Linked DNA regions of Mus musculus: regions 1, 3 and 4 are each reported to be linked to region 2. The links are microRNA targets in miRTarBase. Many come from high-throughput screens and were not tested one by one. Region 2 holds a microRNA gene; each other region holds the end of a gene's coding sequence.
What was found. Region 2 holds the annotated microRNA mmu-miR-125b-5p (UCCCUGAGACCCUAACUUGUGA, at 3,861-3,882, shown strand). A microRNA usually pairs through its seed, bases 2 to 8, with sites in the 3' UTR of a target mRNA and lowers its output. Matches are read on the target gene's strand: a 7mer-m8 pairs with bases 2 to 8, a 7mer-A1 pairs with bases 2 to 7 and ends in A, and an 8mer does both.

Region 1 (8,034 bases), not on the chromosome of region 2:
CCAGCTGGGCCAGGGCTGCTCTAGGTAGTGCTGAGTCCTGCTTCATCCCCAGGTACATTACGGTCCATTGGTAAAAGAGGGAGGTGTGCATTTTACTTGCCTTACCTCCTGCCTGTGGTTCGTCTCAGCATCAGAGGTGCCTGTGGGGTTGAGAGCACTAGCACTAACTGCAGGTGGCCTTTTGTTGAGGATGGAGAAGCATTTAAGATTCTTCAGGCTCATTGGAGAAGCCCGCAGACACACTTTTCGGTGTTTGGAGGTTATTGGCTCCTCAGACCATTTCCTGTTTGATGGGTGCTGCTTACAGATACACGGGGTATTATAAAAGGGGAGGAAAAGAAACTGGACCTCCAAAGGGTCACTGTCATAGAATATTAAGTTGACATTCAGGAAAGTTGATTAGAAAACTTACAAGAACTGAAGAGCATTTGTCCCTGCCCTTAGCTGAAAATTGCATGTCTCTAGGTACACCCAGTCCTACGCCAGGATCGGGAGATAGGCAGTTCTGATTGGCTTCTCATATCTCTTTACAGGTGGGGCCTTTGTTGAACACCATGATTAAAGGCCGTTACAACTAACCTGCCAGAGGTCAAGGCCTCCTGTCAGGTGACTGCTATCCTGTCCACATGCTTCGTTGATGAGGACAGGACACTCCAAGCACTAGTATTGCACGCTGCACTTAATGGACTGGACTCTTGCCATGGCCCTGGAGGCAGGTGTCTGAGGCAAGGCAGGGTAGTTGACTCCACTCCCATTTGGAAAGGTTTCTCACCCTTGCCTCTTGAGCCCCAGAACCTTCCCTCTGCCCCCCTGAAGTCCTGCATTTAGTGTGTGGAGTCCCAGCTTCTGGTTGTAATCATGTCTGTGTTAGTCTGTTAACCTCAGGGTGTGTGTGTGTGTGTACATGTGTGCATATGCATGTGTGTATACACACACATGCATGTATCTGTTCCTTGTTCCCTCTTCCTGGGTCAGGATGTCACTTCTGGCTCTCAGCTCCTGTCTCCTGAAGCCTCAGTGCCTCAGCCTGGGAGGAGAGATGCTCCTGTGTCCCTACAACATCTGGGCTGTGGTGCCAGAATGACTCTGCACATGAGTCTGCCTTCTGCCAGTTTTTGCAGCATAGTCAGGCTACAAACCAGGTGGCAATAACTGCTGGGGCCCTAATGGGGACATTGAGAAGGAGGCTTATCTTTGGGAGGTAGCCTTCTAGTGGAAGAGGATTAGATAAGATTCCAGTTGAGAACTACATGCTTAAGCCATACATAGAAGGAAAACTTGGGGACCTGAAACCAGGATTGTGCATATGTCCAAATACAGGCATTTGCAGCCGTTCTCTTCAGTACCAGCTCCTGTCCCTGTGCTGCAATGAGGGATTCTAGCTCTGACTTTTTTGGGCTCGAGGGGTATGAACCTCTGCATGTGTGTGTACACATCTGCACACTTGTATGCATGTGTGATCACACTTGCCATCCTTCTTGCTTACTAAGGTTCTCAACTGCTAACATTGTCCAGTGTGGCAGTACAGCGTGAACCCCAGATACTGCCTGACTCAGCCTAGAGCTTTTACACTCGGATTTTAGCCATCCCGTCTTGGTCAGATCTTACTGCAGCCTACCTAAAGCTGACTGGCTCAAGCCTCCCAGTCCTGTGTCTTTCCCTGTCTGAACCACATCCCTGCTCCTGCTGAGCTTCCTGGCTGAGTAGATGAAATGGGGTCAGACTTAGGCAGCTAACTCAATACCTTTCATCCACCTCAGGGCAAGGGGAAAAAAAATGTCCTCTTGCCTCTTAGAGCCAGCGCCTCTGCCAGACCCAACAAAGCGTCGCATGTGAGCTGGAGTAGAGCTGGGAGAGCTTGGAGATAGAATTTACTTTTCTGTTGGTAGCTGTTTATGGGAGCCCTCCTCGGGGCTGCAGCTTATAGCTCTGTGTTACACAACACAGAGCGCAATCATTTGTATCTGTTAAGAGGGAATGGGGCCCCAGCAGCTTGGCAGAGTGGTGGCCCCGTGTCCACTTACCTCAAGTCCCTTCCTTCTCTGTCAACCTTTTTTCTCTAAAATTGGAGTTGGAAGTCTGATTTTATTCTTTTCTTTGCCACCTTTTAGTCCCCTTCCCTGTAGATTTGACCTCCCGTGTTCAAGCTGTGGGTCTTAGCCCTGAAGCTCAGCTTACAGCGCCCCATGGACTGAACAGATGCAGGCGAATGCTTGTGCACCCGTGTGCGTTTAGGGGCGGGAGCTCTAGCCCCCACTCTGGGCTCTGCAGTGTGGTTGCGCAGACTTGGTACCTTCTTGAGTATGGCTCTTTAAATACAGCCCGTGCTGGGCAGTGTGATCGCGGCAAACGCATGCCTCCATCTCTTTTGGGAACGAGGGATGCAGCAGAAGAGGGAGGCAGAGTGGTATTAGTTTGGCCACCGTGGCGGATTTTCATTCTCCGCAGATCTATGGTCCTGGCTCTGCCCTCAAAGGTGTCTGGGATGTGTGGCAGGGAGTCTGGATCTGCTCGGTTGACCCTTCAGTATAACTCTGCTCTCACAGGTCTGACCTAGGGTGGCTGAGGGCAGCGAGAGAGAAGGTGAGCTTAGGCACCATCACAGGATTGGCCCTGATGCTGGGATGATGTCATGGCTGTTCCTGGTCTTAGACACCTGATGTGTACCTGTTGTTTCTAGCTCTGTCCCTCACAGTGCTGCGTGGTAGTCAAGAGCAAACCTAATGCCATTTAGCTATAAACCCACTACTCCCTGCTCCTCCATTTCTTCCAAATGCTGTTGGTTCTCTACCTCACCTCAAGCCTTGTTCCCTAGAGAGTGTGCAGGTAGACTCAGGCAAGAGGGTGTGGAAGGGTGAAAGGCTTTGGGGGTTCAGCTAGAGACATGGAAAAGCTGCCTAGAAAGCCATCTTAACAAGCTAAGGGTTCTGGGAAGAAGCAGAAGAGTGAGCTTCGGCCCTGCGGGGGAAAGGGGTGCTGTAGGTCCTGTAGCTCCTCTCACCACACCTCTGCATGCTGAGAGGAAGCTCTGGTAACCCGATTCATATTCTGCTGGGCCACTTCCTCCTGGGGATGGCAAGCAGGGACTCACCTAGGCTAGGGTCTCAACCCTAGGGCTGTTGAGGCTCCAGTTGTACTTGCAGCAGAGCAGGCATCACTATTGTGTACCCATTCTAGCCAACAGCCTGGGAGTCAGACGTGCCAAGGAAGGTGGAGACCTGGGCTTGTCCAGGGGTCAGCCATCTTGCAGGCTCTCGTGTTTATACCAGCAGTACAGTGAAAACTACTGTTTTGTGAAGTCAAATATTTGCTGGGGGGTTAGAGTTATGGGGTGGAGGAGGGGCTGTTCTGGGCATCAGTTGAGCAGATGCCCAGGATGCCTGGGGGAGACCAGCTTCCCCTACAAATCAGAGCTCTAAATTACAAGGTTTTTACCAACGCGAACAGTTGGGGGAAGTCGTCTGCTCTCATTTGCGTAATGGTTTCTGTCACTGGTGATTAGACACAGGATGAAGGAAAAGAAATTTGACAATTAGGAATGAGCCATCATTAATCTGAATCTGTTAGGAGACAGAGAGGGGAAGGCTCCTTACTATTGGGCCAACCTAGTATGGGGAGACACTCCCTATTTCTGACCCCAGAATCTTGTGGGCCAGGTACCCTTTTGGAGTTCCCACAAGTGTGGGTGGAGTTTGTATGCCTTCATAGACTGGAGTCCAGGCCCAGCTTGAGGTGGGTTTGCAAACAGACATCTTTCTGCCTGAGCCCTCGCAGTTGAAGGTAGGTAGGCTGGTTACTGCGTGTGCTCAGTTACAGGAAGGATCTCTGTAGTAGTCAGCACTGTTGCGCCCCACCTGTGACAGGGATCTGTCACTTCGAAGCACTTGAGCTTGTGTGGGAAGCCTGAGCTTCATCAAACCCCAGACACTGGTGGAAGTTGGAAAGGAAACCGTATGAAGAGTAGCAGAGCCTAGGTATGTGCAAGGAGGGGTGTGAGGAAGAGCTGGTCCAGCACAGGCTGTCTGGGAGGAGACTCGGCCTCTCAGCAGCGTTGTCTTACTCTGGATCAGCGAGCCATTGCTGTGGGGAACACTGAGGTTCCTGGCTCAGTGACCCAGTGATGTGGCTATTGAAAAATGGAGAGTCCAGCGTAGATCTTCCAGTGTTTGCAAGTTACCTCACCACTCACCCCCATCCCTTCAAACGCCTAAGAATATTAGTCTGTACCAAGTAGTGGTCCTCACCATTAGTGTGTTCCTTAGACCCCAGCCCCCCCAAGGTTTGGAGGGGGCTCCTCTGTCTCCTTTCATAATGTGAACTTCTCAAGGATGGTGCTATCTCAGTCCTTGGTAAGTTCCCTACCTCTGTTGTCTTTCATCCTTCAAAACTTGGTGCAGAATTTAGCAAGGGCTACCAGCAGTGACCCTCTGACCAGTTTTTCCTACATGGCCAGGGGTGGGGATGGGGATAGCTCAGGGTTGTAGAGGCCAGGCCTTTCCAGTTCCTGTTTCTCTTGGTGTCCTCTTGACCCATCTTTAAGAGGATCCTTGAGCTTTCTCCTAACTAGGCTCTCAGTGGCCTCTTTACCAAGGCTCTTTTCCTCAAAGACGCTCTCTGGCTCCAAGTGCTGGGCAGCCTGGCTGGAGGATCCCTCTCCACAGGGTCTGTCCCTGCCCCTGCTTCACTTCTGACCTCAGGTAGCTCTGTTGCTGTGTCCCTGCTGAGTTGCTATGTCCGTCTGCTCTGTCCACTTACCATTCCTCAGTCTTTCCATGCTGGGCCGTTGTCTTACCATGGCCATCCTTCCTACCTTTTCTTCAGCCAGCTCTGTTTAATTATAGACCCATAGGGTCCTGACTGGAGCCCCATTGAGCACTTTGGGGACGTTTCTGGAGGAACAGAGGCTCAGAAACTGGTGTCCTCAAGGCCCATGGGCCTGTGGTTAGCGAAGCCTCGGAGACAACTGGGGAGGAACTTGGAGAGGTGAAGGACTTGGTGAGAGACTTGGAGAAAGAGGCCAGGCTTGGGAAAGCAGGGTGGCAGGAGCGAGCTCTGTTTTCCATGAGTGTGTCCTTGTGCCTTAGGGTCCAGCAGTTCAGGTATGAGGGGCATTTTCTGAATGCCTCCTAATTTCTCTCAGGTCTTTGGCTCAGTGTCACCAAGTTTGACAGACCCCTTCGTTCCTGAGCTTGCTAGAAGGGAAGCAGCACGTTGAGTGGTGTGGTGTGGTGCGAGAGCGGAGGCCTCCCATGCAGAAGGCTGGGGTGGTGGACAAGAGAAAGGGCCCGGTGGTCAGCTTCTCACCGATGACTCTCCATGCCTCAAGAGACTGAGTATAGTAGTTGGTTCAAGAAGTTACTCTAAAACTGCCTGCCCTCTTCACCTAAAGTCTGTTCTCATTTCGGGGAGGAATGCAAGTCCTTAATTTTCAAGGGAAGACAGTCTAGTGTTTAAAAGCATGTGTCTGGGGTCTGGTCCCTTTGGTACATTTCTAGCTTGCTACTTACCAGCTGGGTTTGACCTTGGTTGATTGATTGAACCCGAGTCTCGGTTTCCTTTCCTATAATGACTTGTGGGGGTGGGGGTTTGAAAATATCTACCTCAGGGTTGCTGGATGAACTGAAATAATGTCTGTAAAGCTTTAGCACAGTGCCTGGCAAGCACTTAATAAACGGCTGTGGTGGTGGTGGTTTATAGTATGTGACTTATTTAAAAAACTTGGCTTCAGTGATGTGTACGATTTCCAGCGACTCAGCCTCTCTAAACCCATGCATGCCTCTTCTGCCCGGTCAGCCAGGCTCCTGCTCACTGCCGCCTGGTGTCAGAGCCCCTCACTGACACATGGTGGGAGCTCAGTGGCCCCTCATCCCACCCGGGGAAGCTACTGCCTCCCACATACAGAGCACCTACCCCTGCTCATGCCTGTCTCCCAACTGTCACTGGCACCTGTCGCCACTCCCTTCTAAATTCCTCTGAAGAGAGTGACAGCTCAGGCCCTGTGGCTCACTTTTATGACATTCAGCATGTTTAAATGACAAATGTGTTAAGATTGCTCGAGGGCATAGGGAATTCCAATTGAAGAAAATGGGTGGGTGTTGACTAACTGTTAAGTGCTTCTGTCCAGGCACTGTGCTAGTCCCTTGCACTGGGTGCTCTTGGCTCAGTAGGGAAGTTAAGGATGCCCTGGACAAGCACTTCACTCAGCTTGGATATTCACAGTAGAGTAGGCCTTCTATGGAACGCTACAGCCTGAACTGATAACTGGAAGACATGTAGCTCCTTGGGTTGCAGAAAAGGTAGAAGGCATGTTTGTACCCAGCTTTCTCTTATACTTAGTCCAGAGAGTGCCAGAGAAAAAGACTAGGTGTAGTAACACGAAAAGAAGAAAACCCTTTGGTTAGTCACAGAAATCTGGCAATCCGTTTGGTTGCTGGGCTGCGTTCATTGTGAAGGGCAGATAGATTGGATTGGGCCATTTAAAGTGCCCTGCTGTCCTCAATGTTCAGCCTAGCCCGCTAACTGGGTTACTCAGGCTTCAGCCTGAAATTTACTTGGGTGCGTGGGGTTCCCCGCACCCCCCACAATGGGATCCCACTGATCTCCTGGCTGCCTCCCTTTGTCTTATGGTGTCTCTGAGCAGCAGGGCATTTAGAGTCACCTGCAGTCACTTCTTTTATGTAACTCGGGCCTTGGCTATCTTCCCTATTGGACCAGCCAAATTTACTGATTCTTTTTGCTTAAGACCTGTTCACTTGGTCATCAGGGTCAGTCCTGTCTTTAGGGAAGCTCTGTACACTAACCCAGAATCGCTGTGTGTGTGGACCAGGTTTTTTTATCCTGTTTGAGTATATAGTGTGTAGTATGGTGCAGGGGCGAGGTTGAGAAATGACAAATGCACACTGGGTCCGCCATTCTGTGTGACTTTGGAGAAATGACAAGTGCCTGGACTTGACCTCTTCATAACTGCATACTTTGTGATGGTTACACAAAACAAGGTAGGTAAAGAAAGGCTTAGCAGAGGGACAATGGTGGCGAGACCCAGTCATCCGCCTTAGCCTCCAGGGGTTCAGGTGTCTGTCCTTCCCAGAGTGGATCTCTTCTCCATCTGGCTTCCCAGCTAGATCCTGTGGCTAGTCTTAAGGTGTGCCTGGTTCTCAGCACCTGAGCAGGGCCCAGGGTTGAGCATCGACTCCTGCTCAAGGCTCCCTTCCCCTCGTCAGTGACTTCCAGCTCTCTCAAGGACCTTGTCACCATTGCCATCAGGCAGTGATTTTATAGAATTCATTTTCCACACTATATAAATACAGAACTGTGAAATCAATACATCCTCTTTTCCTCTCTTCAGGAATAATTGCTTGAAGGTTTGTACCAGCTGGTGACAGTAGTCAGGGGATAGGAGACAGTGATGTGGGAGGGGTGTCACAGTAGGGCCACAGTGGTGCAGACGAAGTTGTCATAGGCTGTTGTGCTAGTCTGGAGGCAGATCACCCCAGGCTAGAAGATGTTGCTTCTGCACATCTTTGAAATTTCACTTCTGCCTGTCCTTTATAGTCAGCATAGCTGTTGCTCTCCCAGGGACTTGCATGATACACTGCTGTGAATGCCACCCATGTGTCTGAATCCCCACTTAACCACTTCCTAACTCTAACCTTAATTAACCTCTCTGGGCCCCAGCTTCCTGGTTTGGTCTGTGAAATAACAGGTAGCTTGCAACATTGAGGGTTTGTGAGGCGAACCTCAGACCCAGTTCAGGGAGGGCACTTGGGAAATGTGTTTTCTTACAAAAACTGTAGTGTTTTGTGGGTGCAGGGAGAAAAACTGCTGATAGCAGAACTTTTCTTACTCTGTCCTGAGTTTTCAAGTACAGTTCTCAAAGAATTCACACAGAAGAGCTATACTTGAGATGAAGAAAGAAACATGGAGACCATAGGTGGTAGAGGGGACTGGAGATCCATAAGCCAGAGCTGGGCTCAAAGATGGTTCTGCCAGGACAGGATCTCAGGGAGCAGGGGTGGAGACCAGACCTGTTGAAGG
Region 2 (8,135 bases):
AGTCATGACACTCATTTATCAAGAGCATTGTAGGTAACTATATGGGGGGACAAAGGCAGCCTAAAGAATTCACATATGTAAGAGAGTTAAAAAATCAAAATAAAGTCTGATCAAGGCAATAAGCTAGACGCAAAAACAGGACAAGTTCTGCAGGCTTCTTGCTGCCACTGGCAGACACTTGTGCTAAGCTAACCTGTGGGTGTCTGTCTTTATTTCAACTTTTCATCCGATTCTGGACTCGAGTCCTTTGCAGTCTCCAGACTCAGAAATCATGCTTCATATTCTCTGTGGCAATTAACAACCAGCATGGCGGCTCTGCTCCTTCCCATCTTTCTTTCTCTGGGTCTCTATTCCATCCATCTCTTTTTCTGCCTACCTCTCTCATCCTTTTCCTTCATGCCTTTTTTTTCTTTTTTTCTGAAAGTACGAACTCAACATCCTGTTTCCTTCCTGTGGACATTCTTTTCCTTTTTTTTTTTTTTTTTTTTCCTTTTTCCGCTGGTCTTTGTGCTTGAGATTTGCTGGCCCCCACCCCCACCCCAGCCCACCTCACCCCGCCCCACCCCTGTTTCCTTTTCCTTTTTTTTTTTTTTCTTTCAAATCAGAAGCCTGTAAGAGCTGATTTCTACTTGCATCTCTTTATGGATCCTGTGATGTTTTCTTTGGAACCTCAGCGAGCGGTTGGTTGTTCTCCGCAATTGTTGCCACAGATCTGTTGCCAAACTGCTACCTTCCTTGGTCGTGCGTGCCGCATTGCATGCTGGGACTGCCTATGAGAGTAAACTGACATATTTGCAGCACCAGCCAGCATTGGCTGGAGGATGGTGATAGTTCCTTCCCTTTTGTATGCTTTTTTGTATTCTGTAGAGTCACCAATAGCTAAGTCTGCCCGGCAAGTAATTCAGAAACACTGCTAGTGTAGAAAGGGAAGGTGGCAGTTTACCATACTGTCATCCCAGGGAGAGACTGGAGAACAAAGAAACTGGTGTCTTCTATGTTGTGAAACACCAGCACAATCATGGCCAAAGGTTTTGGCTCTTTAGTAATAGTGTACAGATGTACAGGGATCCACCTTTTATTTAAATCTACATATTCAATCACAATATGCTGAACCAGAACACTTTTACGATGTACATACCCACGAACAGTCAGGTATTATTATTTTTAAAAGTCTTTAAAATTAAAATATACTAATATCCAGCTAGTCGATCTCATTCCACCAAGTTAGCATTTCAACACAGTTTAAATCCCGTTGATGAGTCAGATCTTGGCAAGTCTTGTCTTTTAATTCCTATGAAATGAGAGCATAGCTAATAAAAACATGAAGCTATCACTTCGATTAAAATCCTAGCTTTTAGATTTTATTTATTTATTTATGTATTTATTTATTTGACTAGAAAGAATTGATCTCTACACACCCAGCCTTATGGGCGTATGGATGTACGGGTGTCTGCTGCTGGGTGGGGTCTTCACATAAAAACGGATAGACTTTCTTTTGCCCTTTCTTCAGTCAAAGGGGGAAAGAAAATGAAACCGCAGAATAAAGTCTAAGGCTGTTAAGAAACTGATGGTATTTTTTTTTTTCTGTGTCACGTGTGTGTGAGCCGGCCTGGCTGCTTCCTTAGGTGGGGACCCGGGCGAGACTCTGCCTGAGTCTGTCTCCACACTGCTCTTGCAGATCTGTCTTATTGATTAGCAGGGAAAAGGGTGGGGATTGGAGGGAAGGGAGGGGAGGACTAACTGGCGACTGGCTCATTGAAGCACAAGGCATTTTCTTCCGGGAAGATGTCAAACAGCTGAGAGACAGCCACAGAGGAAGTAGAAAAGGTGGAAAAATAAGGACAAAACGAAGGCATTTCTTAGGAGAGTCTCAAGGCTTTTTTTTCTTTTCTTTTTTAATTCGCTCTCTCCCTCTCTCTCTCTTTCTCCCCATTTCCTTCCATCATCTGACCTGCAGAAGCTAGAGTGACAGCGTCATGCAAATGCCGCAGTCCAGCAGGTCTGGGAGAGGGTGGATGCCAGACTGTGCGTTAATGTTAATGATGAGCGCAGTGAAAATACCAGCCGCCGCCACCCCTTGCACACAGAAGCGCTCTGAGTCAGCATCAGATGCTAGCCCGACTCTCTCCGTGTGTCTGTGTGCCTGTGCGCGCGCGCGTGCTCGCTCGGGCATCCGTGTCTAGCCGAGGGGAGGGGGTGGCGTGTGAGTGCGTGGAGGGTAAAAGCCAGTCAGTCAGTGAGAAGCAAAGGTACGTTGGAGAGCAACTAAAATCTGACTGATTTCCATCTTTGGAGCATCAGATGTATTCCCTAAGGAGGATGGGTCTCCGTGATGGGGGTGGTATAATTATGTTAATGTCATATTTATGGAGGGGTGAGATTTTTCATTCTAATAATTGGTTGAATGCTATGGTCAAAAATTGTAAAGCCATATTCAGTTTTAAGGAAAAAGCATGGACTTTTATCTAAGTACTGTTTTGTTTTATTTAATTTTATTTTTTTTCCTCTTTGCTTTTTGTGAATGCTGCTTTTTGGTTGTTTCTTTTGGTTTTGGTTTTATCTTTTTTTTTTCTTCTATAAAACTATTTATTTGGGGCCATAAGTGATTCAGTATGGGAAATCAAATGATAAACAGAAAGAGATCTTATATAATGATGCATTACATCACGGAACAGAATGCTTAAGTCTTACAAGGCAAAGTAAAGATCTGGGCAGGGGTGAAGGGGGGTGGTGGTTAGAAAGGGGTGTGGTACTAGGGTGGGGGAGGGGAACACTTAGCAAATATTTTGTTCAGCATAGCTTTCCTTGCAGCTTCCTGGAAATGGATGGTTCACCTGCCTAGAGGAAAACACTCTAAATCATTCCATTTCTCTCTCTCTCTCTCTCTCTCTCTCTCTCTCTCTCTCTCTCTCTCTCTCTCTCTCTCTCTCTCTCCCCCTCTCTCCTTTTCTAACCCCCCTGCTTTTCCCTTTTAAGATCAACCACTTCTGAAGAACCAGATTCCACTTCTGTGGCCAGGAGTTTTATGCTGTGCTAAGTGTGATTGTTTTGCCCTGCATTCTGTGCTACTAAACCTTGGATCATTCCTAAAGTCCAGATTCTGCTCTTTCACAACAAGGCGAAAAGATGGGAGAGAATTTGATGAATAGTCAGGATTGAGACTGTGTATTTTCAAAAGTATTGAACTATATAATGTAATTATTCAAAGTAAAGGATCTTTTTTTGTTTTCTTACTATGTTGCCAGGATTTTAAGTTAAAGCTTGTTAGGTGGTCTTGTTCAAATAACTATGAAGTGTGCATGAAAATATTTGCTGTCTGAATAGTTTGCATATTTAAAGAGAAAAATCAACATTAATAGGTATTAAATTATGACATATTCAAAGTTTTTGTTTAAATCTTATCTGTAATAATTTAAATGAGAGTTTGAAGTGTTGTATATCCTGGGCCCACAGTAACAGTTGTGATATATAAAACTTCAATAGAAGCAAAATATCAATTAGGGCCCCATTAACTGGCATATAATCCTTTTTTAGTGTAATAGAAGTGGGTGTTGCTGTAAAAATCTGCAAGGAGCATATTTTAACCCATTTTTGTCTCCTTCTTTGGATAGAATGGGGTGATTCTTAAATGTCCATTGTCTGCTTTGTTTTTCATGCCCCACATTACTGTAAGTTCTGATCTATAGGTGGCCGTCCTGATTATTCAGCTCATCTTTGACTTTCATGTGTTACTTATGTTTCTGTCTGTGTGTTTCAATTAGTATTTAGAAGATTAAAAATAAATGAACCCAACTCTAATTCCCAAGCTGTCCGTTTACCTGGAAGAAGAATTCTCCTGCATCACACGAGACTTTGCCTAGTCCCTGAGACCCTAACTTGTGAGGTATTTTAGTAACATCACAAGTCAGGTTCTTGGGACCTAGGCGGAGGGATACCAGCAGCTTGGGACCTTATTGATTCTCGGCATAAACCACCAGAACAAAAGAACAGGCATAGATTCTGCATAGGCGCAAAGAACAATGGTTTTCTTTCTAATCAGCAAGGGTTTCACCATGACAACACCCCCAAAATACAATCTTCAGAATCGGTACTCTAAAGATATGGCACAGTAGAATAGAAATAGCGTTTGTATTTACTGTGATTATCGTATAAAAGTGTTGTAAGAGATATGTACAAGAAGTAGAATTAAAACACAAGTTCTTTTTAAAAAAATAAACATCGCTTTGGGTGTGTTTTAAGATGAAGAAGATTCATTGTAAGAGTTGTTTATATTCATAAGTTTTTGTATGCGTAGAATTATATACATTAGTTATTTCAATAAATTATGCATGCTTCCATAGAACTGTGGCTTAGACTACGTCAAATGAGATTCTAATCATACTCGAGGCCTGAAAAAGAAACGATTTACAGTTTTCTTTATTGATCTTATTCTTGTTGATACTAATATGAGAGAATATTGTTTTATACATGGTAATTTTAGCCAGTGTTTCCTTAGTCTTTTGCCCACACATAACAGTATATATGTATGAACAACTGCCTTATTCTGAGATTCACAAAGTATATATTTAGGGAAAATACAGTGCTTTTGAATTTCTACATTTCACTTTGTGTGTGTTATAAAGCATTAGAGAATGCCTATGAACTCAGCTGCTCTTGTTCACATGTAAAACACGTCTGAGATGCAGGCTTTGATCAGAATTTTCATTACCAGAAGTAAATATTCCATCCATAGCCTGTGTGACTTATTAGTCAATGATACATTAAACATGTGTTTTTTTTGATCTATAATCAATAAATCTATTCCAAATATACAGTAACATTGCAGAAATTTAGGCTTAAAACAAGGTGGCTTTCATAACACAGGCAAGAGTGACTTTGGTGTTTTAACTCTGATGTTTCACCGTAAATTGTTTTCTCCATTAGTAAATAAACCTATGAATCTATTTTAGGATATCATGTGGAGTCTTTGTTCTGTTTTTGTTAAGGTTGTTACTATTGCTCATTACTTGAAATATCAAAAAAATGCAAAGCATCTTTATTGTTTCCTAAAAATAATATAATAGTATCATAAACACAGACTACGTTGAAGTTTGTGTTGATGTCGTATCAACACAAAGAATCTTTTTAGATTCTTTCCTGGCCTCACCCCTGTCATTTATCTAGAAGCTTTAAAATCTAAGTGTGTATATAAGCATGTTTTACGACTCCATGTGAAAGGAGTAAATATAAAGTCAGAACTTTTCTTTAATCACAAAGAACTCTATGTATGTGTATCTGTGAGCATCACACAAGCTTGATTCTATTTAACAGAAGCTTTACACAGATGATCAGAGAGGAGTGTGTTTACTAACACCTGTTTTATGATAATCATAAACGATATGCAAGTGTTACTTCATCAGTTGAAATCCACAATGAACTAGGGAATAATAGTAGTCAGCTATGATAGCAAAAAATTTAAATGTAAAGGTTTTCTGTTTATGCTATGATAATGAACAGTAGTATATATTAACTTAGATTTTATAGGAGAAAAAAATGCTAAAATAAATTTCACTTCTCCTGAACATCACATATATCATATATGATATACATCATGTATCTTGCAATTTTGAACATTCTCTGTGCAAAGCATGTGTTGTGTGAGAATACTACTCACAAACAAGTCTTATGCTATAAAGGTGTGTGTGTGTGTGTGTGTGTGTCTGTGTGTGTGTGTGTGTGTGTGTGTGTACATCAGACTTTGTTTCATAAGCTACTTTATGTTGTGTGTGAATGGATGTGACTATCTCTGCATTTCTCTCTCAGCTGTCACCAGATAATGCAGTTCTGTGGATTCATAATGTGACTTGGAAAACCAGATCATTCTAAGCTTAAAATAAACAAAAAGATAAACAACAAAGAGTGAGAAGATGATGTGGTTTGCATACAAAACGCAGTGATATTAGCAATCTGATGGCTTCTGGATTGGGAGAGCAGCCTGAGCCAGACGCATACATTAAGAGCTGTCTGCTGCCCATGTGAGCTTGCTCAGTGTATTGGAAATGAGGGATCACCTCTCCTCTGACACCAGCTTATTTGTACATTTTAATTTTGAAGTAGCAAGTCACTGTTCCAAGTTCATAGACTAACCCCTGCTTGTTTCTCTCTCTCTCTCTCTCTCTCTCTCTCTCTCTCTCTCTCTCTCTCTCTCTCTCTCTCTCTCTCTCTCTCTTATTGTTTGCTAAATTACTGTCAACTTCACATTCTTTTTAGAAATAAAAATCATTACTCAACTTAGCCATTTACTGCACACTAATGAAATAGTAGTTTTCCTTTGTCTCCGTTGTGTGCCTCTAACAATATTGTGATACCTGTGTTTTTAGGTTTAGATCTCTTTCAAGGGGAACTGGACTTATTTTTTTCTACATGACAATGTTTAAAGCATTTTAGAATCCATAAAGGAGACCATTTGGAATTTTGCCAGATCTTAATATGATTATATTTTCCTTTAGGATTCTCGAGATCAATATCACTCTCAGTTTAAAATTCCTAAACATTTCAGTCTTCCACTGACACAACAGAAGCGTAGACATATTCTTAAGTCATTTCATAATCTCCCAAGGAGGAATCTCCCAAGGAGTATCTCAGGGGAATTACAGTAAAAATTAATTATTAATGAAATTAGAAAAGGTGGGGCTTACCTTAAACTCATCTTCAAAATGGCATGCTGGTACACGTGCTAACCTTGAACGAATATATTTTAAATATGCAAATGACCTTGCAAGCTGTCATGTTTGGATGAGTTTATAGTATAGCAACATACAAAGGGGGGCTGAAGCTCAAGTTTCCTTGCCATTTTCACATGCAATGCAGCCTCCTTGTTCATAGGCAGCCAAGGAAGGCACAGTTTTGATGCCTGGATTCTTTTGTCTGATTTGTTAGTAGACTTTTAATTCAGTATTCAAATCCCACTGATCCCTAAGTGACTGCATCTGAAAAAAAGCAAGCAAGTTTCCAAATATAGATGAGTTTAAAAAAAAAAGAAAAAGAAAAAGAAAATCTTGAGAGTTTGTAAACATTTGAAAATAAAGTTTTTCCCTGTAGCTCTGCAAATACATAATTAGTAGGCTGAAATTCAGTTGCTATTTTTTAACCTATGCATCAGTTTCATGTTTAGTGTCCTTATCCATCAATGATCAAATAGTCATTAGTGTGTGTGTGTGTGTGTGTGTGTGTGTGTGTGTGTGTGTGTCTGTCTACAAGTCTGTATGTCTGTGTATCTCTGTTCATTTCCACAAAATATTTAATGAAAACAGCATACACACTGAACAAGCTTCCTGGTGTCACCCATACTGTGTTATTACTAAGTTAACTTCAGTTTTCACTGAGTGACACTTTTCCCCTGTCGGTTTGTATTAGACATATTATGTGGGAAGTTGAATACGATGTTGTACCTGTGGAAACTTTGAAAGCAGGTAAAGACTGAAGGTAATTGAGATTAATTTAAGATTAAATTGTTTCCTTATCAATCAACTGATTTCATGAATATTTTATGACAACCTCAAAATGAATAATCCTGGTAAGGTGGAAAATCTGCCCCACTGATATTACTAATTTGATTTTAAGTTTGTTCCCTTCATAGTGAATTACTAACCAAATAGAACAACACCAATCATGAATAGCATGTGCTTAGCCAAGTAAGTGAGAATTGTTGCCCTTGGGTCCTCCTTTGGTTAAATAGTGTTTGAGGAGCTTTTGTAGAAGCGGTGTTTTGTAATCTCTCTCTTCCCCTATTCTCTCTCATTGGTAACTGGTATCTGACAAGTTTGAGCAAGTGAATTTTCTGTGGAATTCTTTTTCCTTGTTTCTAAATTGGGTATTTTGTTTACTCTATGTCCAATTTGCCAAGTCATTCTTGAAATCTGCTGAGTATTCTGTAAATACAAAAGTGAAATATAAGAGCCTACACATTTATATTATGATTGTTTTCCTACCTCCATGAGAGGTTAGAGTAACATTGAATTGAAACATTATCCAAACATAGCGTTTGACTTTGTTTAATTTTTAATATAATGTCTTTCTCATAGTAGACCTCCAAATCTTAGCTAGGGAGGCAATCTTTTTACACTCTCACTTTGTTGTATACTAAAACCAGCCTA
Region 3 (8,135 bases), not on the chromosome of region 2:
AGGAGGGTGCTTGGGACAGCTTGCCTTTGCTGACCCCCAGTTCTGATCTGCAGAACAGCAGGTTGCCCAGGACACAGAGGAGGTCTTTCGAAGCTACGTTTTTTACCTCCACCAGCAGGAACAGGAGACCCAGGGGGCGGCCGCCCCTGCCAACCCCGAGATGGACAACTTGCCCCTGGAACCCAACAGGTAAGCTCCAGCCTTGGGGTACAAGTCCTGGGAGCCCTATCAGACCTTCAGACAGGGCTAGGTGGAAAGTCTGCCCCCACCCCATGGAGGCGCCCCTCTGCCCTGAGCCCGGTTCCCAGTGCAGAATTCCAGCTCTCTGACTGATGCTCATCCCTACAGCATCTTGGGTCAGGTGGGTCGGCAGCTTGCTCTCATCGGAGATGATATTAACCGGCGCTACGACACAGAGTTCCAGAATTTACTAGAACAGCTTCAGCCCACAGCCGGGAATGCCTACGAACTCTTCACCAAGATCGCCTCCAGGTACCAGCCCATCCTCCACCCCGCAGACGCATGACGCAGACTCAGACGCTCCATAGGATGGGCTCCCCAGCTGAGGAATGGTGTCAGGGTGAACATACCAACTTCCGCCAGCCCAATTGCAACTGGATGGCTTCTAAGAGGCCACCTGATACCGCATCCCAGCCTGCCATAGGCTACCACTGTGAAACCTAGGGAACAGGGAAAGGACCGGAAGTCAGTGTCCCTGCTTTGACGCCACATCCAAGTTGGCTTGAGTTCTGTTGTCTGATCTTTATCTTCTGTGTCTGGGTGTTTAGCGTGCATGTATATGTGCGCACCAACCTGCGTGCCTAGTGCCCAATGGGGCCAGAAGGCTGGAGCTAGAGTTTACAGACCGTCATGAGCCACCATGTGGGTGCTGAGAATTGAAACCAGGTCTTCTGAAAGAGCAGCCAGTATTGCTAACCGCTGAGCCAGCTCTCCAGCCCCATTAAGTCTCATGTAGCCCTGGCTGGCCTTGAACTCTTATCATCCAGCTTCGGCCTTGCAAGTGCTAGGATCAATCATGTGCCACCGAGCAATGTCCTTTCCTTACACCAGGGAGTCAGCGTCAGGGTAGATCTCAAGGTGGTAGTTGATGTAGAAGCAGGCGGCAAGTTTAAGTACAGAGGTGGCACATCCTGTCCCTGTCCTCAGGCCCCACTCCGTCCCCTGTGATTTGGGGATCTGTCGTAATCTCTTCTGTCCTTTTCTCTCTGCTGTCCCTCGGGCTGCCAGGCCAGCAGCAACATGCACAGGTAATCTCCCTGTCACCTCATCTGGTCGCTCTTCCCTCTCAGCTCCCCCCACCCTTCCTTCTCCCCCCCCCCCTCGCCATGCAGCCAGCTCATCACATCACCCCTCCCTCACTAGGCTGTCTCCTTTCCTAGAAAGCCAGGCTCTTCCTGACGGGCAGCCAGGCCAAGGCAGACTTTCTGACCTGTCCTGGCAGCTTAGCCGTGTAGCTTCCCATCTGGTGGTGGAGGGGTGGAGGTCGGGTAGAGGAAGAAGGAAAGGACCGGGTCTCCCAAGGCAGGCTCTCCGTGACTTATGAAAAAACTCTTTGCCCACAGCCTATTTAAGAGTGGCATCAGCTGGGGCCGCGTGGTGGCTCTCCTGGGCTTTGGCTACCGTCTGGCCCTGTACGTCTACCAGCGTGGTTTGACCGGCTTCCTGGGCCAGGTGACCTGCTTTTTGGCTGATATCATACTGCATCATTACATCGCCAGATGGATCGCACAGAGAGGCGGTTGGGTGAGTGCCTGGGCTTGGGATGTCCCACCCCCCACCCCCCATCACACCCCCTACCCCCACCCCCCACCCCCCTGCTGCAGGGGCTGCCCGGCCAGGCCACTATAACCCACCCTGTTTTTTTTTCCTGACAGGTGGCAGCCCTGAATTTTCGTAGAGACCCCATCCTGACCGTAATGGTGATTTTTGGTGTGGTTCTGTTGGGCCAATTCGTGGTACACAGATTCTTCAGATCATGACTCCCGGGGAGCCCCACTGGGGCCCCAGCCACGTGCCTGGCTGGACTAAACCTCTCTCCCTACCCCACCCCCTACCCCCCACCCCAACAGTCCTCTCCTTCCTCCCCAGGGCAAAGACGCTTTAGCAAACAGGCACCCCTGATTTGGAGAGCCACCGCCCAGGGGTCATCAATACCCCAACATTGCATGGTGCTACTGAACCCCATCCTGTCTCAGAGGCACTGACTGACGCACTGGGGGGGGTGGGTGGGGGATGGAGAGGCTGGGCCACTAATTCCCAGAAAACTAGGTTTGTTTTTATACTACCCTTTAGATACAATCCACCCTTTTTCTCCACTGTGCCCAAAGTCAGAACATGGAGGGCTTGGGGACTGGTGGTTCGAACCTGTGTTCCCAACACTCCTGCTACTTTGGAAGGTCAGCCCTTGAGAAGAGACCTGAGCACAATCCTTGCCCTCCCTACATTGGCTCCCAAGACCAACTGTAGGAGACTGCATGACCTACTTCACCCCCACCTCATCGTCCATTTCCCCAACCCTACCCCCCACACCCCCTCCCCTCCTATCTCCTACCCCAATCCATCCATTTTTGCCTTGGCGGCTGGACTCTCAGGGATTCTGAGCCCAGAGTGAGGGCAGAGGTGAGAGTTCAGACCACAGCTGTCTGAACACATCCATCAGGCTCTCCAATCCTGTGTCCTTCCTGACCCGTGCTCCCAACCTAGTGGGTAGGGGAAGACGCCACTTTCTCCCCAGGGCTCTCAGGTGAGCCTGCCTGCTGGGGCGGAGGCCTTCCTGACAGACGGACGGACAGAGCCTCAGACTCAGCCACTATGACAGGGGAGGGGGTGGGCACTCTTTGGAGGTGTCCACACTAGAGAACTACTCCAGCAGAAGCAACTGTGGACCTGGGTGCAGTTCCTCCCCGGAACCTATGATTACTTGAACCCCACCTTCACTCCTTGTCTGCCTAGGTCCTCCTCGGGTTGGGTGGGGTGGGTGTTTTTCTCTGTCTTGCACAACATAGGGGTGAGAAGTTTTGATTAAGCCAAATGTATCGGGGAAGAGGGGGAGGCAGAGGGTGCTCTGTGTCTGGAAATAAACTGTGCAATGCCCCCAACACCTCGCCTGGCATCTTTACACTCCACTGACTGTCCTATGTTAGACTGCAGGAAGCTGGACACACTGCTGTAATCCCAGCTCCGCGCTACATAGGTTCTCATGCCGAGATCGCAAGATCCTGAAGTATGAAGCTGCAGTTGGGGCTGGAGAGACGGCTCAGCAGTTAAGAGCACTGACTGCTCTTAAATCTTTGGGCTGGAGTGAGCGGGGCCAAAGTGAGAAGTTAAAAAAAAATAGAAAAAAAAGATCCTGGGTTATGAATCTGCAGATGGTTGGAAAACCAGGACAAATCCCAACCAATCCTTTGTAATGACCCCGGCTCTTCACCCCTTACATCAGTTATTTATTTATTTATTTAGGTTTTTTGAGACAGGGTTTCTCTGTATAGCCCTGGCTGTCCTGGAGCTCACTTTGTAGACCAGGCTGGCCTCGAACTCAGAAATCTGCCTATCTCTGCCTCCCGAGTGCTGGGATTAAAGGTGTGCACTACTACGCCTGCCTTATTTATTTATTTAATGTAAGTACACTAGCTGTCTTCAGACACACCAGAAGAGGGCATCAGATCTCATTATAAATGGTTGTGAGCCACCATGTGGTTGCTGGAATTTGAACTAGGGACCTCAGGAAGAGCAGTCAGTGCTCTTAACTGCTGAGCCATCTCTCCAGTCCCATGTAATTCCTTTTTTTTTTTTTTCTGTGCACGTATGGTAGGGCTACACGTGCCACTGTGTGTGTGTGTGTGTGTGTGTGTGTGTGTGTGTGTGTGTAGTCAGATGGCACTGAGTGGAAATCAGTAAATCAGTTCTCTCCTACCATTTGGGACCTGGAAAGCAAACTCGTTGCCAGGCCCGCTAAACATCTCATGGCTCTCTTATTTCTTTGTAGTCCAGGCAGCTTCTGACCGCAAGGAAAGTCAGGGATCCCTTGGCTGGGGAGCTGAATGGGAAAGTGCACCACTCCAGGGACCCCAAAGGCTACCTCTCTACAGGAGCCACAGCCCACGCCGGCCCTTAAGGCCCCTTTTCACACTCTGCCTGGGACATAATGTTCCAGATCCAGATTCCCTATGTCCCTACAGACACACACACACACACACACACACACACACACACACACACACACGCTGGGCTTTTTTGATCCTAGGAGTTTTGATGTTGCATGGGAGCCCCTACAGAGAGGCAGCCGGGGGTGGGGGTGGGGGTGGATAAAAATAACAAGCTGGGGGCGTTAAAACGTTCCGAAATTCACAAAGATTCCTTTTTCTCTTTAGCCCTGGGCACCCCGGTTTGTGTTTCTGACACCCTCCCCAGCCCATCACAAGACCTGCCGGTCCAAGGGGCCTGGTGAAGCTGCACTTCCACTGGGCTGGGTTGGCTCTGACCTCTCCCTGCCTTCTGTGTGCCCACAGGTACTGGGGGCTGGAAAAATGTTTGGAACCGCCATGCTGAGCTCAAAGCTAACACTTAAGGCGCCGTGTACTATGGTGTATACTGAGAACTTTTTGATACTGGAATGATATGTGATGGGTGGGTGCGTTAGACTCCCACCTCCTAGAAAGGCAAGTGCCTTTTTAGAGTCACGTGGTTAACAAAAGCATCGAGCTAGAACTTTCCATAAGGTTACTAGCTCGAGGTTTTACCTGGAGGCAGGACGAGAGGGTCGCCGGGCTCGTGAGCACATGCCCGCCACGGATTTAGGTGAACAACGTCGAGGCAACTCTCTGGTCTTCCCCGTTGAGACCACAGTCTGAAGGTGAGTGGGCTGCCCGAGTTCAAGGTGGCCGGTGAGGCTTCACACGCATGCGCGCATGCGTGCCCCTTTGTGGGCGGAGCCAGGGAGCTAAGTTGTTCTAGCCATTCTCGAATTTGGAAACCAAAGGTTAGGAGTCAGTCATCTCCATCTGCAAAGAAGGTGAGCCCCAGGTTTGGAGCTTTGACTTCTCTGGCCCCCTCCACACCTAACAAGATGAGGTTACCCCAAACCTGGCCCCCAGTTACTTTCTGGAGCTGCCCAAACCAGAGGGCGATTGAAGTTAGGAGAGGCAGCGTAAGAAAGAAGCTGAGAGGCTGAGAGGCTGCTGGGCGCAGATGGACCCTGCAGGTGCCGCGGTTAAATCTAGAGCACACACTCCTACGCTTCAACATTTGTGGGTCTCCTGAAATTGTACCTTCTTTACACCAAATACATCTGGATTTCATAGCGAGTTTGAGGTCAGCCTAAGCTACGCTGAGAGCCCCGTCTCAAAAAAAAGGGGGGGGGGCACATTTTAGGTCATTGGGTATCTATCCCAACAGTTTAATTGGAAAATGCCCTCCCTTCCCCCAAATTACTCAGAGTCCTCTACATCCACCCACTACTGTATATACTTAAAATGTAGAGGATTCCAGCCCAAGGACTGAAAAGGTAAAGAACTAGATACTAATGCAAGTGCTTGGTGGGTGTGAGTCCCTGTTTCAAAAAGGCCGTAGCTGCAGAGATGACCCAGCAGTTATGAGCAGTGACTGCTCTGGCAGAGATCTGAGTTCAGTTCCCAGCGCCCACAACAGGCAGCTTATAGCAGTCTCTAGTTCCAACTCGACTGGATCCGATGCCCTCTCTCTGGATTCCAAGGACATCTGCTTTGTGTGCACATACCAGACCACCAAGCACGCATGTATACGTAATTAAAAAATAAAATTAGGGCCGGTAAAGACGCCCGCTGGAGAGCACAATGCCCTGAGACCCACCCCTGGGAACCACAGGATTCTCCATAATTGCCCTCTGACCTCCACACGTGCAGCTCACACCACGTATACATAAACTAAACAGCGAATGATAGAGTTCTTTGAAAATGTTTCAGTGCCTAAAACTTTTTCTCATTTGACTTGTAAATGTGTCCCGTGAGGGATGTGTGCTTGGAAAATAAAATCAAGTATGTTAAATTTGTAAACAGAGTTTAAATATTTACAAGAACCTAATTAGCTAAGTTTGTAAATGATGTGGGTGATGTTCAAGCAAATTCGTATGTCGGCCCACAGGCTAACTGAACACCAATCAAAGGACAAGTTATACCTCTTTCATTACACAAATGGTATATGTTAGTATACAAAATGTATGAGAATTCTAAATAGGACATCAGCATATGCAAGTTAAACTTAAGAATTTATGAAAGTATGACTTTAAATTTATAATTTATATATATATATATCAGGAGAGAGAGAGAACAGGGTACAATGTGGCCTTGAACTTGCTGTGTCAAAAATGATCTTGAATTCTTTATCTTCTTGCCTCTACCTCTAAGTACTGGGAATTGAGACTTTAGACAGGTCCAGCCTTGGAAACAGATTTTTTTTGTTTACATTTTTATTTGTTTGTTTATTTTGGAGACAGGATCTTAGATTAAAGGCATGGCCCACCAGGCTCTGCCAAGATTTTTTTCTCAATGTTGGGGAATTCCACACAGGGTCTCATGAATACTAGAAAAATGTTTTACTGTTGTCTGGCGGTGGTGACCCAAAACTTTCATCCCAGCACTCAAGATGCAGAGGCAGGCAGATCTCTGAGTTGGAGTCCTGGTTTATTGTGATAGTTCCAATAGAGGCAAGGCTACACAAAGAAACCCTGACTCAAAAGACCAAAACCAACAAAATAAAAACCAAAAGAAAAAAAAAATTAAGACCATCATTCAACTGTGTAGGCTATATCCGCAGCTGTTTCACTGTTGGTGACGGTGATGGTGCTCACTTTTGAGACAGGGCCTCACTGTGTGGACTGTATAATGATGTACACTAGCCTGGCCTTGAACTCATAGAGATCTGTGTGTTCCTGCCGGCTGGGACTGAGTGCTGGGATTAAAGGCATGTGCCATCACACCCGACTATGGTCTGATTTTTTTTTAATTAAGCACATATGAGTGTGTGTGTGTGTGTGTGTGTGTGTGTGTGTTGGTGTAGAAGAGGGCATCAGATCTCCTGGAACTGGCTCTAAACTGCCCAACATGGGTACTGGGAACCTAACTGAAGTTCTTTCCAAGATTAGCAAATGCCTTTAACCTCTGAACCATCTGTCCAGCCCTGAGAAACTGTCCTTTTAACATGTCACACCAGCCGGGCAATGGAGGTGCACGCCTTTGATCCCAACACTTGGGAGGCAGAGGCAGGCGGATTTCTGAGTTCGAGGCCAGCCTGGTCTACAAGAGTGAGTTCCAGGACAGCCAGGGCTACACAGAGAAACCCTGTCTCAGAAAACCAAGCTAACAAAAATGTCACATCAACAGCTACTTACATAACTTCGATAATTTTAAAGTTGTATTCTTCAAAGGATCAAATAAAAAGTTGTTATATGTATCACTTACAGGGGAGACATACATGCAATCAAGACATGTGGAAGTCAAAGGACACCTTTCTTTCCATTACTCGGTATCAGAGTATGGTGTGCAGTTTCTACAGCTGGTGCCTCTATCCACTGAGCATGTCAGCCCTCAACAGGATTCTTTTTTTTTTTTTTTTTCTTTTTTGGTTTTTCGAGTTAGGGTTTCTCTGTATAGCCCTGGCTGTCCTGGAACTCACTTTGTAGACCAGGCTGGCCTCGAACACAGAAATCCACTTGCCTCTGCCTCCTGAGTGCTGGGATTAAAGGCATGCGCCACCACTGCCTAGCTTTAACAGGATTCTTAATCTTTTTCTCTTTGTTTTTGATACAGGGTCTCTATGTAGACCAGGCTGACCTTGAACTCATAGAAATCCACCTGCCTCTGCCTCTTAGTGCAGGGGTTAAAGTAATCCTGTTTGCCTGTTTATGAGATTCTCTTTATCTGTCACTGTTTAGGTGGCTTTCCCTTCCCATGTCCTCATTTTTCCTTCCTCTCCTGCCTCAGTTTCTTCCTTTGCCATTGGAATGGAACTAATAGTGTTAATAGTGGTGACTTTCTATTAGGACAAAGCTAGACTGGTCGTCGTCGTCGTCGTCGTCATCATCATCGTTGTCATCATTGTCATCGTTGTCAAACACAACAGGGCTTTATGCTACTCAATCC
Region 4 (8,135 bases), not on the chromosome of region 2:
CCCTCAGCAAAGTGTGTGAGCTGGTCTTTTTACCTCAGGGGCTGGGGCAGCCTACCTCAGATGGGTCTGTTAGGGTTTGAATGCAGAAAAGAGAAAGGAGGGAAGGAATTGTTCTGTTTGTCAGGTGATAATCTCCCATCTCCACCTCCACTCGAGATCGCCGTGGGTTCCCCACACTCTGCTCTCTGTGCTTGGTTCTAAGCGTCTCTTTCCTCCCTCCTCAGGTGGAGAAGATCCGGCAGGTGAAGGCGAAGTCTCTGTTCCTGCAGGTGGAGAAGCTGCGGCAGAGTCTCAGCAAGCTGGAGAGCACCATCAGCGCCGTGCAGCAGGTCCTGGAAGAGGGCCGCGCCCTGGACATCCTGCTGGCCCGAGACCGGATGCTGGCCCAGGTGCAGGAGCTCAAGACCATCCGAGGCCTCCTGCAGCCCCAAGAAGATGACCGCATTATGTTCACGCCCCCTGACCAGGCCCTGTACCTCGCCCTCAAGTCTATTGGCTTTGTCAGCAGCGGGGCCTTCGCCCCGCTCACGAAGGCTACAGGAGATGGCATCAAGCGTGCCCTTCAGGGGAAGGTGGCCTCTTTCACTGTCATGGGCTACGACCACGATGGTGAGCCCCGCCATTCGGGAGGTGACCTGATGTCAGTTGTGGTCCTCGGCCCCGACGGAAACCTGTTTGGTGCAGAAGTGAGCGACCAGCAGAATGGTACTTACATAGTGAGCTACAGGCCCCAGCTTGAGGGTGAGCACTTGGTGTCGGTGACATTGTACAATCAGCATATAGAGAACAGCCCCTTCAAGGTCGTGGTCAAGTCGGGCCGCAGCTACGTGGGCATCGGGCTCCCCGGGCTGAGCTTCGGCAGTGAAGGTGACGGGGAGGGCAAGCTCTGCAGGCCCTGGGGCGTGAGTGTTGATAAGGAGGGTTTCATCATAGTGGCTGACCGAAGCAATAACAGAATCCAGGTGTTTAAGCCCTGTGGTTCCTTCCACCACAAGTTTGGTACCCTTGGGTCTCGTCCTGGGCAGTTTGACCGACCGGCTGGGGTGGCTTGTGACGCCTCCCGCAGGATCATAGTGGCCGACAAAGACAATCATCGCATTCAGATCTTCACCTTCGAGGGCCAGTTCCTTCTTAAGTTTGGTGAGAAAGGCACCAAGAACGGGCAGTTTAACTACCCGTGGGATGTAGCAGTGAATTCTGAGGGCAAGATCCTCGTTTCAGACACCCGGAATCATCGCATCCAGTTGTTCGGACCGGACGGGGTCTTCCTGAACAAGTACGGCTTCGAGGGATCTCTCTGGAAGCACTTCGACTCTCCACGGGGCGTGGCTTTCAACAATGAAGGTCACCTGGTAGTCACCGACTTCAACAACCACCGGCTTCTGGTTATTCACCCTGATTGCCAATCTGCCCGCTTCTTGGGTTCGGAGGGCTCGGGCAATGGGCAGTTCCTGCGACCACAGGGTGTGGCTGTGGACCAGGAAGGGAGAATCATCGTAGCCGATTCCAGAAATCACCGCGTGCAGATGTTTGAGGCCAATGGCAGCTTCCTGTGCAAGTTTGGTGCTCAAGGGAGTGGCTTCGGGCAGATGGACCGCCCCTCAGGTATCGCGGTCACCCCGGATGGATTGATCGTCGTGGTGGACTTTGGCAACAATCGAATCCTCATCTTCTAATTGTGTCTTCTGGGGTTTTCTGTGTTTAGGGTGTGCATGTGTGTGTCTCTCATTTTTGAATTTCAAAGAAGAAATCGTCTCAGGGATATTTCTTTTTCTTTTTCCCCCCCTTTATTTTTATTATTTTTTTTTTTTTAAGAACAAAAGTACAACATTGCCTAAGTCCTACCTCAGCTTAAATTTTTTTTTTTTTTTTTTTTTTACAGATGAATGTAATTCTCCTCTGTGCAGGGCTTGAGCCTGTGAAGTGATAATTTCTATCTACCTCAACTCTTTGCATTTCCCTCTCTGGCAAGCCTCTTGGCTCACATCCTCTTCCCTCCTGAAGGCCTAGGAGGCACAGGACAGCGGTCCTGCAACCTTGAGGGCACTGGAAGCATATGGTGGGGTGCATGCATTTTGTAGATTGAGCCAAGGAAACCCAAAAACTACTAAGTAAAAAAGAGAAGTATAAGATGTTGGAAAGATAGGATTTAAAATTCATAATTGTAGTGTATTTGTGTTCTTGAGAATACTGTGTTTATGTGGGGTTAGGTTGTGTGTGGTTTGCTCTTTTCTTTTTTATCGATGCAACAGGGCTTTTCTCTGTTTACCTCAGTGTGTCTGACATCTCATCCCTAGGAGATATGGCTGTGGCTTGCTAGCCTAGAAAAGCAGACCATTCATATTTTCGGGTGTCTCATCTTTGTATCTGGTAAAGAAGGGTGGGTGTGTGGGAGTGTGTGTGTGCACACGCGTGCATGTTTGTGTTTCAAAGCCATCTTTGCTTGAGGAGAAAAGCTGGACTTGACACAAGACATCCCAAGCAAATTTCTTCCCAGTTTGCTAAGAAACTCGATTTAGCTCAGGACTCTAGGTTGAAAGTGTTCGCAAAGGTTACGTGTCTGTGTTTTTGTTGTTTGTTATAAAGACTTAGGTATAAGAAAATAAGTTAACCTTGTTCTCAGAGAGAGAGGGGCTTTTCAGATGTGGACCAGGGTGCCACAGAAGTGGGGGGTGCTGGAGAAGTGAGGCACCCCCACATCAGGGACTGTTCAGGAGGGCGGGGGACCTCGTCTCTATGTGTGAGGGTGTGGTAGGCAAAGGGATAGCTTTGATTTGAGAAGCACAATGTTTTTTCCTGCTTTGGAAGTTCAGGGAATGTAGAAGATTGTCTGACTGGTGGGAGCACCTCACTCCCTAACCCTTGGCTCAGGTCTGTTTCTCAGGAACCTTCCCTAAGTCTGAGTGGAGGCAGACCTCAAGGTTAACACAAAGCCCCGTTCCTCCCCCAAAGGCCTTTGAATGTAAAGGATTTACAAACCAAACCACCCAACAGGAAGTGTAGGACACAGTATATGTCTTTTTTTTTTTTTAATTTTATTTTATTTAAAAAAAGAAAAAAAAAAAAGAAAAAAACCTGTACCAAAGAATAGAAACTTGGGGGCCTGTGGCTCCCATCCCATTGAAGTCTGATGTATTGTAAGCCACAGAGTGGGCCTTCTTGACATTCACCTCTGAGAATGAGGGCCCATCCCGGTTCTCTGGTTCTCTGTATTCTCACTACTGAGCTCAGACCAGATTTGAAAGAGGACAGAAGACTGCCCAACATAGATCTAAAACCCAGTTTCTGACCCCCATTGCACGGCAGGAACTCCACAGAGGAAGAGGCGGTGGGGACAGGATAAGGGCTCAGTCGAATTGCTTTGGGATGCTCAGTTTGCCTGTGTGAGCTACGACGTTCCTTCACATTCACATGACTTGAATTTCAGGATTTCGGGGTGATCTGAGTGTGGCGGCGGGTGCTGGGGGGCGGGGGGCCGTCTCAGCAGGGAGAATAGTACACAATCAAGGAATCCCGAAGGTAGCTTCAACTGCTGATCTCCATGTTTCTCGGGATGTGAAAGAGGGTTACAAGCTCCTTTTAAAATTTAATAGTGGGTCCTTCCCCAGTTTATATATCCCTTTAGCCTTTATTATGTCACTTAAGCGTTAAACTGATTTTTAAAAATTTTGTAGAACAGGACAACCCAGGAGGCCTCACCCCGCCCCCCCCCCGCTCCCCCCCCCCCCCAATCTTAAACTGCCTTTAAACACTCAATAGAACTAGCTTTACATTCTTAATGACACTAATTGAACAAATGAATCTTGACAACCTTCTCAGAAACCTGATTTTAATTGTGGCTGGGGAAAGCCGATTTTCAATGCTAAATTGAAGTCATGTTCAGTGTTCCTCCTCACAGCTCTCCTGTGGCAGGAATATTGACTGACTGACTGTTCAGTGAGAACTTTTTTTCTGGTGACTAACAAAATACTTGACATTTTACTTAGGATCTGATAACTCGGCCCAGGTTCCCATCTTGTGGTTGGGTCTTGATCAGTACATGGATAGACCAGTGTGGGCTTAGAGCACAGCAGATGTGTTCTTAGAGGTCTGTGGCTTTCTATATCCAGATCAGTGTAAGGGCTGGCTTCTAAGGAATTGTGATCATAGTTGGAGAACTTTTGTTTTTAAAACAAGTGGCTTATTGTGGCCGCCTGAGATTGGACTCCTAGCCGGTGGGGGAATTGGTGCTAAGCACTTTGGAGAGTGTACCTTGATATGGACTGATCCATATCATGACACCAGCCATGTTTGGTGAGCACCTGCAGCCAGTTCTGAGGTACGACAGGAAAGAGATTCAGGAAGGAGACACCGTGGGTGCTGGCTGGCCGGAAACCTTCTGTCACTGCGGTGAGCGACTGACGGGTAGCGGTCCCTGGTCAGGTGGCAGGGGCTGGCAGGAACTGGCAGGAGCTGGCAGGAGCTGGTGAGGGTGGGTACCAGGAGATTCCCATTGGAAGTGAAGTTTCTTAAGTTTGAGTATTAACCACCTGGTTGCCACCTGCCTAACATTCCAAAACTATAATCATCTGAAGGTCATCACCAATCTATCACTTTTGTTCATGAGAAGTCTCCAAACCTGTACTCCGTTATGGCTGGCAGGTAACTCCTTATCTTGGTTTGAGCCTAGTAGTCTAGGCTGTTCCCCTAGTGCACTAAACTTCCTCCAATCAATACCCTTGTTAAGTCTAACTTACCTGGGGAAGCACACAAGGGTACCCTAAACAGAACTGGACAGTGTTGGGCCATAGAGGCTGCCGGGATGAAGACACTTTGGATGGTCCAGAGTGTCTCGGTGTAGTTAAGCCAAAGCTTAATCATTTGAGTTGGGAAGTCTTTTAAGCTTGAAGCAGCACAATTACTGTCTTGTCTGTGTGTCTTCTTGGGTTTGGAAGATTCTAAGGTTGCTGTGTTCTGGTAGGTATTAAAAGGAATGCCAAAGTTCTAGGCTTGTTTTCCCTGTTGTTTAAGACGTGTGTGTGCGCGTGTGTGTGTGTCTGTGTGTGTGTCTGTGTGTGTAATATACACACACACGCAGTGGTGCCAAAATGTATTTATTTAGAACATCTCTCCTAGTGAGGTTCTGACAGTCTGGGGCTGTATGAAAATGATGCTATCATGTGTGTACAGTTACATAGGACTGGGGCTTTCTCTGGCTTCGTGTGAGCCAGGGTCACAGGGCAGGACACCGCCCCTAACCACACTGATTTTGTTTAGTATGGATTTTCTACCTCAATTTTGGCAAAAAGTTGTCTACCTCACGTCGGCACCGGATGGGTCTTAAAAGGGCTAGTATTAATCCAGTGGGGAGGGTGTGGATGTGGGAGACCCTCTCTAGATGCAGGGATGTTCAGGGATGCAGGATTGATTTCTTAGACAAACGTTTGACCTTGAATAAGAGCTGTCTGGTCAGTGTCGTCGTTCACCCAAGTAGTTCTCAGCCAGTCTGGCTTTCCCTGCCACAAATCCTGTTCCGCAGACAGCGGTAGGAGCTGCTTCTCTGACCGGATGGAGAACCTTCCACCATTAAAGGCCTTTAGGTCTCTCTTCTCTTCAAGAGAAAGCCGTTTTATCTGTTAGGAGCGTCTGTAGGCGTGCCCTTTTAGTGGGAACTCTACAGGTCTAGTGGGAAGCATGAGGTATTTGAAGGGAATGAGAGTCTCTGACTTCATGATTGTATTTGAAGCTGTCTGTGCCCAGCAGAATCTCCCGTCACGGCGGTGTAGCCCGTCTACAGTGACCGGTGACGTGTGTATTGCTTTTTGTTTTGATTTGTTCTTCCTACCAAAGGCAACACTTTGACACTTGTTGTTCCCCCTCTCCTCCCTTTGTTCTTGTTTGTTAAATACTTGATAAATTGAGAAGCACATTATCAGGACTGTTAACTTTCTCCCTGTTTGTCCCTCCCCAGTAACCTTCTGGTCTACCTGGATGAGAGAGCGCATCCTGCAGACCACGGGACTAATCGGGTTTTGGGTTTATAAATAAATGTCACCATGAAGAAATACCTCAATAATGTCTATTTTTAAAACTGGTGTTACGGGTCAGCAATCCAGCCTGGACGGCTGTTTTTCCATCATCATTTAACCAGTAATGGTTCTAAATGTTTGTTTTGTATCTGCATTGGTCTTAGACCCCTTTTAATGATTGTATTAACTCAGGAGCTCAGGTCGTACCTTACCTATCTCAGAGCACACTGGCTGAATGTTGGCGCCCCTGGCAGCAACGCGTTTACTTGTGCTGTAACCAGCTTTGGTTCTTGGTGCTCCTAGCAGTCTGTAGCTCTCCTTTAGAGGGAGACTGCTCACATGTATGGGTGGGGCTCTCTTGTTTTTTTAGGGTGATAAATGTCTTTCCCCCTTTTCCCTTAACGTCTGCCGGTGAGGGTGGGTGGTTTAGCGATGTTTAACTAGCATGTTACGTGTAGTAGTTGTGGGTGGGAGGGTTGGTTGTTCGGTTTTGTTTTAATGGATCTTGTTTGATACAGTCCATTAGCGCTCTCATGCCTGGTCAGCCAAAAAAGAGAAGCAGCAGCTTTAACTTTTATGTAACTGTAGAATACACGGCCCACTTCGGTCTTTTTGTTTAAGAGAAGTGAATGCACACCGCAGAGGCATTGCCTGATGCCAGGATGACTAAGTTAAGTGTCTTCCGCTGGACAAGCTGATTGAAGGAACACACCGCCTCCCCTGGCAGCAGAGCCCTCGGTGTCTCTGCCCCTTTTGGGATTGTGGTGGCATTTCTCGGAGCTTGTCACGGCACTGGGTGGCTAAGGGGATTTCCCCCTAAACCTCAAGGCAAAAGTGTATTTTTTTTTTTTTTTTATTTTATTTTTGCAAGCCCCTTCCTCCCCTTGTTGGGCTTTTACCTTTAAAACCTTAAATGTTACTATTGCCAGCCGCAGGCATGACGGGCAACGAGAGCGGGTGAAGAGCCAGTGGAAGAGCGTTCCAAACCTCCTGTGAGCTAAGCGGCTTCTGAATGTATCTCTGTGGTCCACAGAGAAGGCTGGGGGAGTAGCAAGGAGATGCTGTATCAGCTACTGCAGCCTTAAAACAAAGCCGGTGTCTCTTTGGACTTTAAAAGTGTCCCTATGCAGCTTATTTTATTTTTGTTTAATCAAATAAACAGAGGGTTGTCCCATGAAAACTTGGTGTCCGTGTGATTTTTTTCCATCTGGATTAGGTATGAAAGTACCACTCCTGGTGGGGGCAGGGGGACTCAGGGGTCTGGCTGTCCCGGGACTTCGCATGAGCACCCGTGCTAAACTGGTGTTGCTAGTGTTTTTCTTTTAGGAAGAAAACAGAACAAAACAGACTAGGGTCGGTCGGACAGCATGTCTGTAAGATGCTTGATGAAGAGAGTGAGTTCCCAGGACCTGGTAGAGCAAGAGAACCAACTCCCACAGTTTGTCATCTGACCTCTACATTCACACCATCACACACACATACACATACACACTTGTAAATGGCTGTGTGTGTGTCTGTATTTATACAGGCTCTATATTCCTGTCCTTTAGTTTCCCACGGAAGGAAAGTAACAGCTGTCTGTCCAGAGGGTAAGTGGCTGTGTGACTCACCAGCTGCCACTGCTGCTTCCTTTCTTCTGGTGGGTTCTGGCCTTTTAACCTCATCTTGGCCTGATGGAGAAGGCTCCATTTGAGGGCTGCGCTGTGACCCCCCAGGAAACTAAGCAATTCATCTCTTGGTGGGTCCTGATTTTGGGGGCAGGGAGGCAGGTGCTAGGTAGATTGAGAACTCTGCGCTCTGCCTGGTAGGCACATGCCTCTAACCCCAGGAAGGCTGAGGCAGGAGGATCATGAGTTTGAGGCCAGCATGAGCTGTGTAGTAAGGCTCTGCTTGAGAGTCTGAAACAATTGGGAAGTCGTTTCAGGGCTGCAAAGATGGCTCTGCAGTTAGAGCCCAAGGACCTAGGTTGGGTTCCCAAATCTAGTTCCAGAGAACCTGATGCCCTCTGAGCACCTAGCACACACGTGTTCAGCCAGACATGGAGATAAAACACAAAGTTTGGGTTTTTTTATTTTTAAGATTCAGCTATGGGCTGAAAAGATGGCTCAGCGTTTAAGAGCACTGACT

Region 1: miRTarBase lists Hif1an as a target of mmu-miR-125b-5p. Seed matches in the 3' UTR shown: 7mer-m8 at 881-887, 7mer-m8 at 1,756-1,762, 7mer-m8 at 4,472-4,478 and 7mer-m8 at 5,601-5,607.
Region 3: the mRNA of Bak1 is a reported target of mmu-miR-125b-5p. Seed matches in the 3' UTR shown: 8mer at 2,608-2,615.
Region 4: miRTarBase lists Trim71 as a target of mmu-miR-125b-5p. Seed matches in the 3' UTR shown: 8mer at 1,755-1,762, 7mer-A1 at 2,700-2,706 and 7mer-A1 at 2,810-2,816.

Annotation. Positions count from the first base shown.
Region 1 is chr19:44,570,581-44,578,614 of GRCm38, forward strand. It overlaps Hif1an (hypoxia-inducible factor 1, alpha subunit inhibitor), which reads left to right. Exons shown (of 8, transcript NM_176958.3): 8 at 534-5,694. The coding sequence ends at 578. Among named protein-coding and RNA genes, the nearest start is that of Hif1an, 12 kb to the left of the region's middle.
Region 2 is chr16:77,642,419-77,650,553 of GRCm38, forward strand. It overlaps Mir125b-2 (microRNA 125b-2), which reads left to right and starts at 3,855; the gene lies at 3,855-3,925.
Region 3 is chr17:27,014,796-27,022,930 of GRCm38, reverse strand. It overlaps Bak1 (BCL2-antagonist/killer 1), which reads left to right. Exons shown (of 6, transcript NM_007523.3): 3 at 54-189; 4 at 349-492; 5 at 1,584-1,764; 6 at 1,896-3,119. The coding sequence ends at 2,000. It also overlaps a transcript of Ggnbp1 not described here. Among named protein-coding and RNA genes, the nearest start is that of Bak1, 9.8 kb to the left of the region's middle.
Region 4 is chr9:114,506,186-114,514,320 of GRCm38, reverse strand. It overlaps Trim71 (tripartite motif-containing 71), which reads left to right. Exons shown (of 4, transcript NM_001042503.2): 4 at 225-3,053. The coding sequence ends at 1,676. Among named protein-coding and RNA genes, the nearest start is that of Ccr4, 14 kb to the right of the region's middle.